Linked DNA regions of Drosophila melanogaster. Changing the gene in region 2 together with the main gene of any one other region gives a genetic interaction. Each region holds a gene or a part of one and is shown on either strand. Other genes may lie near its edges.

Region 1 (3,600 bases), on a different chromosome or scaffold from region 2:
TGCCCGCACTGGTGGTGGTGCTGCCCGGTGGCCCACCTCCTCCCCCGCTTCCGCTCGCTCCCGACACATTGGGCTTGGATTCGCTGGAGGTGTGCACACTGGGGCTCTGTGATTTGTCCTGCTCCTCGTGACCATTTGGCGTTTCTTCGTAGCGAACGTAGGGTTCGAAGCTGTTGTTGATTTGCACAGATCCGCGATGCAGATTGTTGGACTCGGCCTCGAAGAGAATCTCGTTGATGAAACGTTCGGCCAGAAGACGCTGCTCGCGCGGCAGTCGCTTCAGTTTGTGCGTCCAGGTGCGGGCGATGGACTCCTCCTCCGGATATGTGCCAGCCAAATACTCGCAGGCTATGTTGAGTAGTTCGTCGGTGTTGTGGGCGGTGCCTGTTGCCCCAGGACCGCCAGTAGATCCGGCTCCTGCTCCCGTACATGGCGGCGTTTGCCTGGCTCGCTTGCTGCTCCCATAATCCACATGGTTGGTTGCTGGCGGTGGCGGTGGCGGAGCTCCAAATGATTTGTGAAACATCTCGGAAATGTTGGGCGTCTGACCACCAGCGCGTGGTGCTGGATAATGGAGGGCTGCTCCCTGGCTCTCCAGAAACGCACTCGGGCAATTGCTGCTCTCACCGAAGGCGAAGTTGGGCTCGTTCTTAAAGGCGGGATTGACGGCTAGAAACTTCTCCGAGTTGCGCAGAAAGTCCAGCTCCTGAAAGGTCCAGCAGCGTGGACTGTGGAGGCTGCCCGATCGCAGGGCACTCTCCACCACCTTCAGCTCCTTGCGGTAGTTCGTGCGCAGTGTGTTGATCTTCTTTTTCACATCCTCCACGGTGGCGTCCCGCTTGAGATAATGGTATATGGGCACCAGGCGCAAATAGGCCTCCGCCCGCTTCTCCCGATTGGTGTAGTCCCGCAGCGATGTGTCCCACAGCACGGGCAGATCCCTGTATGTCTGGATGAAGGCGCGCAGATAGTGTCGGTTCTCCTCCGCTCCCGACATCACCTTCAATCCGTGCGGCGGCGTTTGTGGCAGCATTTTGCGCGGATCTCTGGATTACCCTCTGCCAATCCACGCCAGCTGCAGTCCTTGGCTATCTTCACCACTTCAGCGAATCCTGGATGGACCTATTGACCAACTGTCAATGCGAACGAACTGTGTTTGTTGTAATTGCGCGTTTGACAGATTGTTTGCCATATTGACGTAATGGTTGTGTGCGAGTGTGCGTGAGCGTGAAGATACAGCAACAAGTGCGGACGTAGTGGCAATGCTTGTCACTGGTATCGATACTTCGCCAGCAGTATTTATCGGTCAACTCGTTGTTATCAAGCGCGTATATTTAAACAAAGTAGCACAAAAGCAAGTAGTTTTAGGCATTCATTTATTAAATATATGAGCAAGCATACATAAAATTAACTGTAGCTTATATAGCTTGCATGAAAAATATGATTGGAGGCTACAACTGCAACAATAGTAGGATATTACCAAATTTAATTTATCGACAGGCCAAAAACAACTTAAACGAAGAAAACAGTTCTAATTGATTGTTAATATAGTGCAGCTTACAACTATTTTATAGCCATAGTCGTTTAATTTAGTTATATAGCATTACAGGGAATACCTTCAACCCCTTGCAAGTGTGACCATTATTTAGCGCCGATTGATTCTGGTATTTCGTTCATCACATTTGCGCGTATTTCTTGGCGCCCCCGCGACGGTTACACTGCGCGGCACACTACAGCGAAAAAAATTCGAAACAGACGCGTTTGTCCGTTGAGTTTTGATTTGTGATTCCGACGCGCAGCCGTTGAGCGCAATTCGCTTACATTGTTGATCATTTTGTTGGTTAAATTGCTAAAGCAGGTACGCGGTATCGCTAACAAGAGGACGAAGAACCGGGCGACGCTGCCTATGCGCGTCTGTGTGTGTGTGTTTTCGTGAGCCGCCGCTTTTTAATTAAATAATAAATAAATTGTAACAAAAAGTAGAAAAACAAACAAACATGGAAATGATGCGCGCTAAATGCATGAAAACAGCGTCCAGTTAATGAAAGTAAACGAATCGAGTACAAACGAATTATTTGTCTCCTTGTGCGTTCGTTCTATTGTGTTTCGAGTTCTGTTGGTGTGTGTTTTTGTGTATGTTCCACGAGTTGTTCGCCTTAAAAAAGTAACTGCAGAAGATCCATGGAAATGGAGACCATTGAAGAGCAATCGAAGTGCGGTGAGTACTGAAAGAGGGCGCGGGGCGTGGCAGCTCCAAATGGCCGGCGAATTTATCATTTTTCAATGTCGCCCAAAGGGGTTGGGTACGGGGTAAAACCACATTCGGGGCCAAAAGATCCTCATAAAAAATGTCGCTGCCAGCAAATGCAAAAAAATAAAATGAAATAACAACGACTATAAGTACATCTTTGTGTGTATTTGTGTGACTAAAAAAGCAACGGCATCGTGTCGCAGATATTTTAATCTTTTTTTCTGAATTTATTTCGGTGTAGAAAATATTTATCGCATAAATGCGAAATGCCTCCCTCTCTTCATCATCGTTTCCCCTCACTCTCCCTCTCTTCGGCGACACTGTACCGACAGCAAGAACAACAACAACAACTGAGGCGCCCTAACTGTTGTGAGAGTAAAAAGAAAGGACAAGCAACAACAATTTAAGCGATCAGTTCCTGTTATCATTGATGCGAATTCAGCCGTTTTTAGCCATGGAGTTGTAGCTATAAAAGAAAGTAAACAAGAAACTATCGAATCTTAAAAAAGTAAACAATTAACAAAAGATAGATTTAGGTATTGATGGGAAAGAGAAATCTCTGCTATAAAGTTTTTATTATATTTTTAACATTTTTATTTAACTAAAAACAAAATTGTTTCTAGGCAATTAAAATTGTTATACTTTCCATAAGCCTACGATTTCCGCAACGAGAACGTGTAACTGCAAATACCACACAATTTCAAAGGTTATTGCCTTAAAAAATACGTGTAAATATGTTGTACGGCAGGAATTTTTCCAGCGCGCGGCATAAACAAATAAAATTATCATTTAATGTATTTTGTGTCCGAATTTGAGGCGCAAATAAAGCATATATCAATTAAAAGTTTATAATTTGGTTAGGTTATAAAATCAATTCTCCTTTGATGTTATTTAGCCTTTAAATGTGCATATGTATGTAGATACTTTTGAAATCAACTCTACATGATATCTTTGTGTACTTATTCTGTCTGCTCCGCTCTAATACTTGCCGCCAGGTAAGAAGAAGAATTTATCCTGCTCGACAGGCTCTTCGCTCCTTCTACTTCCTCCTCTTGTTGCACAGAATCCTTGATCCTTGCTTTCCGGGTGGTTTACCTACCCCGCTGGCCGATTACCTCGTATTCCATTTACACATGTTGACAGGGCGCACATGCCCATACAACTATGACTATATAGCCTGTAGTCCGTGTTTTCCGTCCCTCAATGCTAATGGCATTTTACATGGCCCGCAGACCTTCGGAATCTGCTCTTCGCCTACGTCAAGGCTTCCGCGGGATACGTACGTAATTTTATTACAAGATTTTTCTTTGATGACTCTGCTCTGCTATTTGACAAAATCCGCTACACAG
Region 2 (3,829 bases):
TTCACACACTGGAACGAAGGATCTGAACGTGAAACGCGAAATGCGGCATCCAAATCCAATATGTAGCAATACGTATTGTGTAAAAACTATTTTAGAGATGGGAAACTGATGATTTGTATTTAATATTACTATATGTGTATAATTAATGTGAAATATAATTAAAACGAAAAGAACGAAGAATGAATTAAGCTTGTGCGACGAAAACACTAAATAGACCTGCTCCTAAATTTGTTTCTCAACGGCTTTTAGAGCCGCAATTATACTCGGAACAGGTCTGAGTCTGAGCTACATACTAAATGTAAATAAATTAATTGACGCGTACACTACACATAGATAACAACAGTCGATCGACGAGTTCCCCGGGCGTGAAAAATTTGCATCTGGACGTCGCCGCATCAAATTCTCGACTCCAGCTCCCGGAACTCGGCAGGATCCGTGAAACGTACGGTCAAAATATAGAACAGTGTGGGGAAGGGCACCAAGCACATAAAGGCATAGTGGTAATTCAGGGAGGTGAGGCCGTAGGCCAACAACATCCAGTGCACAGCTGGGAAAGTAAGCTGCTGGTATACTTTATGTATGGTGAATGCGCACTTTGCTTACCTATGATGACCACGTTTTTTAACTCCCACACCGACGAGTGAACCAATGCCTTTAGGGTTTGATCCAGTTTGAGGGAATAGTGGATGGCATTGGCTACCATGGATATGGCCACGCTAAGGTACGGAAAGGAGTAATCTGAAAAAGAAAAGATCTCAAGACCAAAATATTAGCAAGCACTTAAGTACTCACAGATCAACCCACATCCTAACGCATGGATAAAGGTGAGCAGGGGCAGGAAGTAAAGAGCCGAGTAAATCGGCGCCTTGCTTCTGCCCCCCACATCCATAATTTTGCTGACTAGCGGGCGTATGAGAAACATGTTCACCAGGCACAGAAAGTAGAAAACCAGCACGATGGTTTGCCTGGAAATTGAACATTAAAGTGACTATTGTGAACACCTGGAGCCTTGGGTGGCTGGGTCTTACAATGGGTAAACTGCCTCCTGGGTGCAGTAGACTCGTGCCTCATAATTGGGGCTGGGGTTGTAAAACAATGTGTACCAGTCAGTAAGTTTTCGAACATCACAGGCGTAGAGGCGCAGCTCCCACATGGGCTCCATTAGCAAGGTGGCGAGGATGGCAGATATGGCAACCTCAACGAAAGCGCTGGCCGTCAAGATCAGCTGCTTCCGCGAAAACCTATGTGAATTCACTAAGTAAGTTCTTCTTCCAGTTTGATTAGTTCACTCACTTGCGATCCTTGGCGTCCATGTCAATGAAAAAGCAGTGCATCATAAGTGGCAGCATGGTCATGAATCCCAGGTATAGCCAGGAGTACGTGCTTAACTCGTCGCGGCATGGAGAGCATGCGTAACTTTGGTTCACCTGAACAATATAAAAGTAAATTATTTTCCAGGCGCCGTTCCGAAGGATGCTAGAACATTAACCCGAGATCCTCTGGGACAGACCCCGCAGCTGCTCCAGCTGTTGTTTCCTAGCGGTGATCGCCCACAGTAGGCTCCTGGGCAGCGTTCCAACGCGTCGTACATTCTCATGAAATCAAAACAATTACTTCGTATTGTATATTACATTAAACAAAATAAAAACAATACTCCTATCGATATCGGACTTATCGTTATCAGTAGGACCACTGAATAAACGAATAGGTTGTTCGTGCACTTAAATTAATACTAATTTATAAAATGATAATACATCAGAAGCACATGCGAAATGTATTAAAAATAAGGAAATTATTTTCTACAGATTATATAATGGGCCCTAAGACTGCTTTCTAATTTGATCAAATTAATAATACTATATGTTTTTATATATTTATTTACAATTAAACATGACTAGTAGAGTGTACATTCTTACAGTGCATTTCAATGATTTGATTTTATTTGAAATCCCAATTGCCAGAAATTTAAATTTAGGGTCCCTTATATGTACCACATAAACCAGTTCGATAGGCGCGCTTTTGGCATGGCCTGATAACTCTGGTAAAAAGCACCGCGCGAACCGGTTCAATTCATAACTAGTTCGCCCGAACTGCACAACCCTAGCAAAAGAAATAGCTTAAATATAATTTATTTAACGCGAATTGGACAACGAGCGGGTAGAAAAAACCCTGTGGCCGCAACCGCGACGCTCGCAGGATACGCAGCTCTTCGCCGTCGGGCAGGCAGGTAAAAAGCAATGGCAATTGGAGTTGACCGCAGAACAACAGCAACGGCAGACGCCATTTTGTCTATTGGCCGGCTGATTTGTAAGCTCAATATTCGCGAAATAGTTACCGCGACTAGCTTCGAGTGGCGCAGCCAAGTAAGGGCTCCCCGCTGTCCAGAGCAAAGGCGAAAGGAAGAGCAATCGCCCATTTTGAGGCCTGCGAAAAGTTGGGACTCGGTCGTCAGTTCGCTCGATTCCATTTGCGAAAAATAAATGTACGTGCGCGTGAGGAAGTGTGTGTGCGCGTGAAAAAACAGTGAAAAATAATAAAAAGCCGCACTGGCCGCCGTCCTTGGGTGACTTCCGTTAATCTCTTACAACTTTTAAAGCTATAGAAAGAATGTGAGCAATTTACCGCCCTCGACACACCCAATGAACCGCTAATTTTGGCATCTTTCTATAACTTTATGCGTAGTTATTTTCACCACCCTTCGCCTACACCCTTTCCCCGCCCCTTTTTCCACCAGTGGCTCCCACCCACCGACCGACATTCCGCTTAAGGATGATGCCGGGCGGAGAGAGATAGAGAGTGAGTGCAAAATCCGTAAACTTGGACGTGATGTAATTTTCGGCAGGAAAATGTTCTTTGTTTGCCCAAAAAAATAACAATAAATAAATAAGAATGAAGAGCGAGGCGTAAAACAAAAACAATTTTAAATTAAACTCAAACGCACACACAAAAAGAGAGGGTTCTGTGGGTGAGCGTGCGTGCGTGTGAGTGGGTGAGAGCGTAATTTGTGTGCTTTTGGAGCATTATTTGGCGCTTGCTGCCCCGTCTATTAAATAATATTGATTTTTCATATTCCAACCCAGCGCTCTCTTACACACACGCAGGACCACTCACACACCCAAAACTGAGCTTCGTACACATGTGGGCCTTTTCGGTCTCTCTCTTAGCGCTGTATTTATCCGCCTCTTATTGCCTCTTTCGCTTCGTTGCACTTTATAGATTTTTGCAAACTGGCCGCTGACCAGGCATTGGGAAAAAGGACAATAAGAGGGAGCCCAGAGCAAGAAGTCCAACTAACCGACCAACTGTGCCTCAAGAAACAGCAAATCAGCGGGGAACTCCCAAACTGGACAAGCAGAAGCCCGGATACCTCACATTTGCCATAAGACACCAGTCAAAAAACGACGCGCACTGCAGAACGCATTAGGATTAGCCCGGCACTAGAGCTCGTGCATTAACATCCGCTTCCGGTGCTCCGCAGAACGAGTTGGCTGGAGAGGATACCCCGCCACCATGACGTTCGACACTCGTAGGCACACCACCGGACAGCCGGGAAGCACAGCGCCCAGCTCAAGCAGCAGCACCACCAGCACAACAACCACCACAACGAGTCCGGCGCAGAGTGCCGGATCAGGATCGGGCATAGGAACAGGCACAGGAACAGTCGCCAACTCGAGTCTGCCAGGAGGAGGATCAGGTAGCTTGGACGGCAACCAGGATCAACAGCCGGCCACAGACAGTCAGAGCTCTGATGACGTGGCCGCTTCCTTGTCAGCGAACAGCGTGGACAGCACCATCACAATAGTGTAAGTGGTCGTGCTGCCGTATTTGC
Region 3 (3,748 bases), on a different chromosome or scaffold from region 2:
TAACAACTACAAAAAGTTTGTTTTTTGTATTGGGTAGAGATGGTACCCTGAACCAACAGTTCAGGTGGAAACTATCGATAACTTTTTTAGGTCAAAGTTTTAAGGTTGTTAGCTCATTAACGGCAAGTATTTAAAGGCTTGCACAAAATCTTCGCTTGATTTTATTTAAATTCAATTACCTGGATTATTAAATACATTTTATAAAGTTTAACACTAGTGAAATAAATATCCCATCCCCAACACATTCTTCAGGGTTACCGTTTAAGGTATGTTCAAAACTTTATGGTATATTCCGGAGCCCTACAAAAGTCTTGGTATTTTTTCACACTGGTCTCATAGTCGCGGCTGATAAGTCGCTAATTTTTGCATAATATTAAGTATAAGTCAAAACAAACGTGCGAATTATGTCATGTATTCGGCTAGCGTCTGCCACCGTTCTGGCAGGGGTCCGTCCCCCGCCGGCAGCAAGCGGAGGTGGAGCCTTGCGCCTGTTGACTAAACGGAATCCGGATGCTGCATTCGCACGCCGCCAGTTTGCTGTAGCGGTTGAAAACGGCGGAGGCAGAAAGAAGCCGAATGGAACTTTCAAGCTCGCAGTTTTGGGGGCCACCGTAGGCGCGGCCACCGGATCGGTGTATACGATGTACCAGCGGTGGACAGACGGCAGCTCGCACAAAGAGCACGAGGAGACGAAGCCGACGCGGCTGGACGGGATTCCGGCTGGAGTGCGGATAACCAAGCGCTATGTCAACCCCAAGGACACGTCCGGTTTGGACATTGTGCTGTTCCAGTTCCAGACGTGTCCCTTCTGTTGCAAGGTGCGCGCTTTCCTCGACTACATGGGCATATCCTATGCGGTGGTCGAAGTGGATGCCGTCCTACGGCAGGACATCCGCTGGTCGTCGGTGAAGAAGGTGCCGATGGTGCTCATCCGACAGCAGGACGGCAAATACGTCCAGATGGTGGACTCAAGTGCCATCATATCCCTTATAGCCACCCACCTGCAGGACAAGCGCACCGACATCGGCGAGCTGGCACAGTTCTATCCGCACACCTCCTTCTTCGACGATGATGGCAAAAAGAAGAACGACATATTGAATAAATACTTCCTCATGTACCGCGAGCATACGCCCAAGGGAGTATCCAAGGAAACGGATGAGTAAGTTAACCAGGGTCAAGTAATCTTTTAATCAAATCTTTTAACCTTGAGTGTCTGTTCTTAGAACCGATCGCAAGTGGAGAAGCTGGGCCGACAGCCACTTGGTGCATCTAATATCGCCCAACTGTTATCAGACCATGGGCGAGTCCCTAGAGACTTTTGAGTGGTTCTCGCAAGCTGGCGAGTGGGACGTTCACTTCCCCAAATGGGAGCGCGACCTGATGGTTTACTGTGGTGCCACCGCCATGTGGGCCATAGCCAAGATGCTGAAGCGCCGTCACGCCCTCAGCGACGACGTCAGGTCGCACATGTACGATGCCCTTGACCAGTGGACCACTGAGCTGAAAAAGAGGAACACGAAATTCATGGGCGGAAAACAGCCAAGTCTGGCTGATCTATCGGTTTTCGGCGTGCTTTCAAGCATGGAGGGGTGTCAGACGTTCAAGGATTGTCTGCAAAACACCAGCATCGGTAAATAAGGTTTCTTTCTCGGGTTTTGTACCTTTTTACGAACTTTTTACATATTTCCGCAGGTAAATGGTTTTATGACGTCAAGGCGTTGGTGGAGAAGAATCGTGGGCAGTTGCAAAGAGAACGTATTGAAAACATGGCCGCTATAGCTTAAAACAAATATTTGCCCTTATTTTATCCAAAGATTGTTGAAAATAACCGAAATGTTCATTAAAATATACATTTTAATCAAATCTAGTTTGCCGTTTCGTTTATGGTATCTGAATGTATATATTTGGTCAAAAACGCGTAAGGAGTGCAAGTTTATGGTACAAATTGGAATTAATTTTAGGTTTTATATTGTTATTTTATTTATATGTTAAATTAAAAATGTTTACTAAATAAATACCTCCTGCTAATAAAAATATCCCAAACCGACGTATGTATACCTATCGATAACGTTTAAGCAGGCTGGATCCGATGCTCAACAACGGTCACATTGATTTTGTGATTTTGGTTAGCCGCTTGCAAACTTGCAAATCATTTCGTTGGTTTTTTACTTGGCGAGTTAATTGGTGAATTTCAGCACAAAACATGAGCAGATTGGGCTTTGAGCAATTCCCGGACTACCAGGTGCCCGGCATGAAGCATCCTGATTTCTCGCCCTACGAGTCCAATGGCGGGTGAGTTGCTATTTCCCAGCGGAATCGAGATGTGGAAGAATGTCTCCATCTAACCGGAGTCTTCCCTGTTTACAGCTCCATTGTGGCCATCGCCGGAGATGACTTTGCCGTAATTGCAGCGGACACCCGCCTGAGCAGCGGCTACAACATTCACTCGCGAACGCAGAGTAAACTCTTTAAACTCTCGCCCCAGACAGTGTTGGGTTCCGCAGGCTGCTGGGCGGACACGCTCTCGTTGACCGGATCGATTAAGGTGCGCATGCAGAGCTACGAGCATACCCATCTGCGCACCATGACCACTGAGGCCGTGGCCCAGATGCTCTCCATCGCCATGTACAATCGCCGCTTCTTCCCGTACTACGTGTCGAACATTCTGGCTGGAATTGACAACGAGGGCAAGGGCGTCGTCTACTCCTACGATCCCATCGGTCACTGCGAGAAGGCTACATACCGCGCCGGCGGCACTGCCGGCACCCTGCTGCAACCGGTGCTGGACAACCAGATTGGTCACAAGAACATGAATTTGGAAGACGCCGACAAGATCAAGTTAACCAAGGAGCGGGCCGTGAGCGTTGCCTCCGACACCTTCATCTCTGCCGCTGAGCGCGACATCTACACCGGCGACTCTGTGCTGATCAACATCATAACCAAAGATGGAATTGAAGTACGAACTCTGACGCTGCGTCAGGACTAGCCTGTGGCGAGGATGTTGCCGTTTCTTTTGGTTAGGGGCATTCGGTGGAAACCAGGCATTCTAAGTTAGTTGGCTTCAAATTTTTGTATTTACCCAAAACAACAAAACATCGTAATAAACCGAATCTTTGAGATTTAAAATATGCGGCCTAGTGTGACCAGCTGGTCCTAGAAATAAATCGTTCCCAAGCAGTGCTCACAGAAGAGGCTGTGCGAATAGTACAGCTTTCCCCGTACCAACAAATCCATTTTGCTAGCTAAGTTTGTGCCCGCTGGTGTGCGTTAACAAAATCATTTCTTAGTGTTCGTCTCTCAGAGAATTCAGTCCAATGACGAGTTTCGAGTTTGCACTGCTGCCGCTTCTGTTTTTGCCACTGATCCTGGAAAACCCGCTAACCTCCGCCCAAATGATGTCATCGCTGGTGAAGCCGGGCATTTTCCGGCACCTAATGTGCCGCAACAACATGTATCCGCGCAGCTCAGTCCTCCGGTACCCAGTTTCCGACGAACAGGTCTTCTGGTCGGAGCCGTTCCCGGACTACTGCCCGCCTGCGTACACGGCGCCACATATTGGCGGGCAGGTGTGGGCTGATCCGCCGTTGCCCAGCGACACATTCTGGCCACAGTGGAATCAGCTGGATGGACAGGTAAACCGCGAATCCTTTCACGGTGCCTACAACGTGCAGAATGGACTGCCCCTAAATCCGATCGGGCGTACCGGACTAACCGGACGTGGTTCGCTAGGCAGATGGGGTCCAAATCA

What was found.
Region 1: of faf (region 2) and pbl, changing one enhances a phenotype caused by changing the other (phenotypic enhancement), as found in Drosophila melanogaster (one study listed by BioGRID).
Region 3: of faf (region 2) and Prosbeta6, changing one suppresses a phenotype caused by changing the other (phenotypic suppression), as found in Drosophila melanogaster (one study listed by BioGRID).

The regions. Positions count from the first base shown.
Region 1 is NT_037436.4:7,910,040-7,913,639, reverse strand, and holds the start of pbl (pebble), read left to right. Parts: upstream 1-1,685; 5' UTR 1,686-2,181; coding exon 2,182-2,218; intron 2,219-3,600. Other genes in the region: CG8281 (uncharacterized protein), read right to left, coding at 1-1,033.
Region 2 is NT_033777.3:31,774,956-31,778,784, forward strand, and holds the start of faf (fat facets), read left to right. Parts: upstream 1-2,064; 5' UTR 2,065-2,227; intron 2,228-2,287; exon of another isoform or gene 2,288-2,609; intron 2,610-2,682; exon of another isoform or gene 2,683-2,796; intron 2,797-3,216; 5' UTR 3,217-3,510; coding exon 3,511-3,803; intron 3,804-3,829. Other genes in the region: CG2126 (uncharacterized protein), read right to left, coding at 396-547, 604-738, 793-965, 1,029-1,241, 1,294-1,427, 1,490-1,597. UniProt on the Drosophila melanogaster protein: Ubiquitin C-terminal hydrolase involved in development and the imd/NF-kappa-B (IMD) signaling cascade. Required for eye and embryo development, and plays a role in compound eye assembly and oogenesis respectively.
Region 3 is NT_037436.4:16,608,774-16,612,521, reverse strand, and holds Prosbeta6 (proteasome beta6 subunit), read left to right. Parts: upstream 1-2,103; 5' UTR 2,104-2,203; coding exon 2,204-2,292; intron 2,293-2,367; coding exon 2,368-2,986; 3' UTR 2,987-3,122; downstream 3,123-3,748. Other genes in the region: Su(P) (suppressor of ref(2)P sterility), read left to right, coding at 405-1,159, 1,224-1,630, 1,693-1,784; CG4098 (uncharacterized protein), read left to right, coding at 3,315-3,748. UniProt on the Drosophila melanogaster protein: Non-catalytic component of the proteasome, a multicatalytic proteinase complex which is characterized by its ability to cleave peptides with Arg, Phe, Tyr, Leu, and Glu adjacent to the leaving group at neutral or slightly basic pH.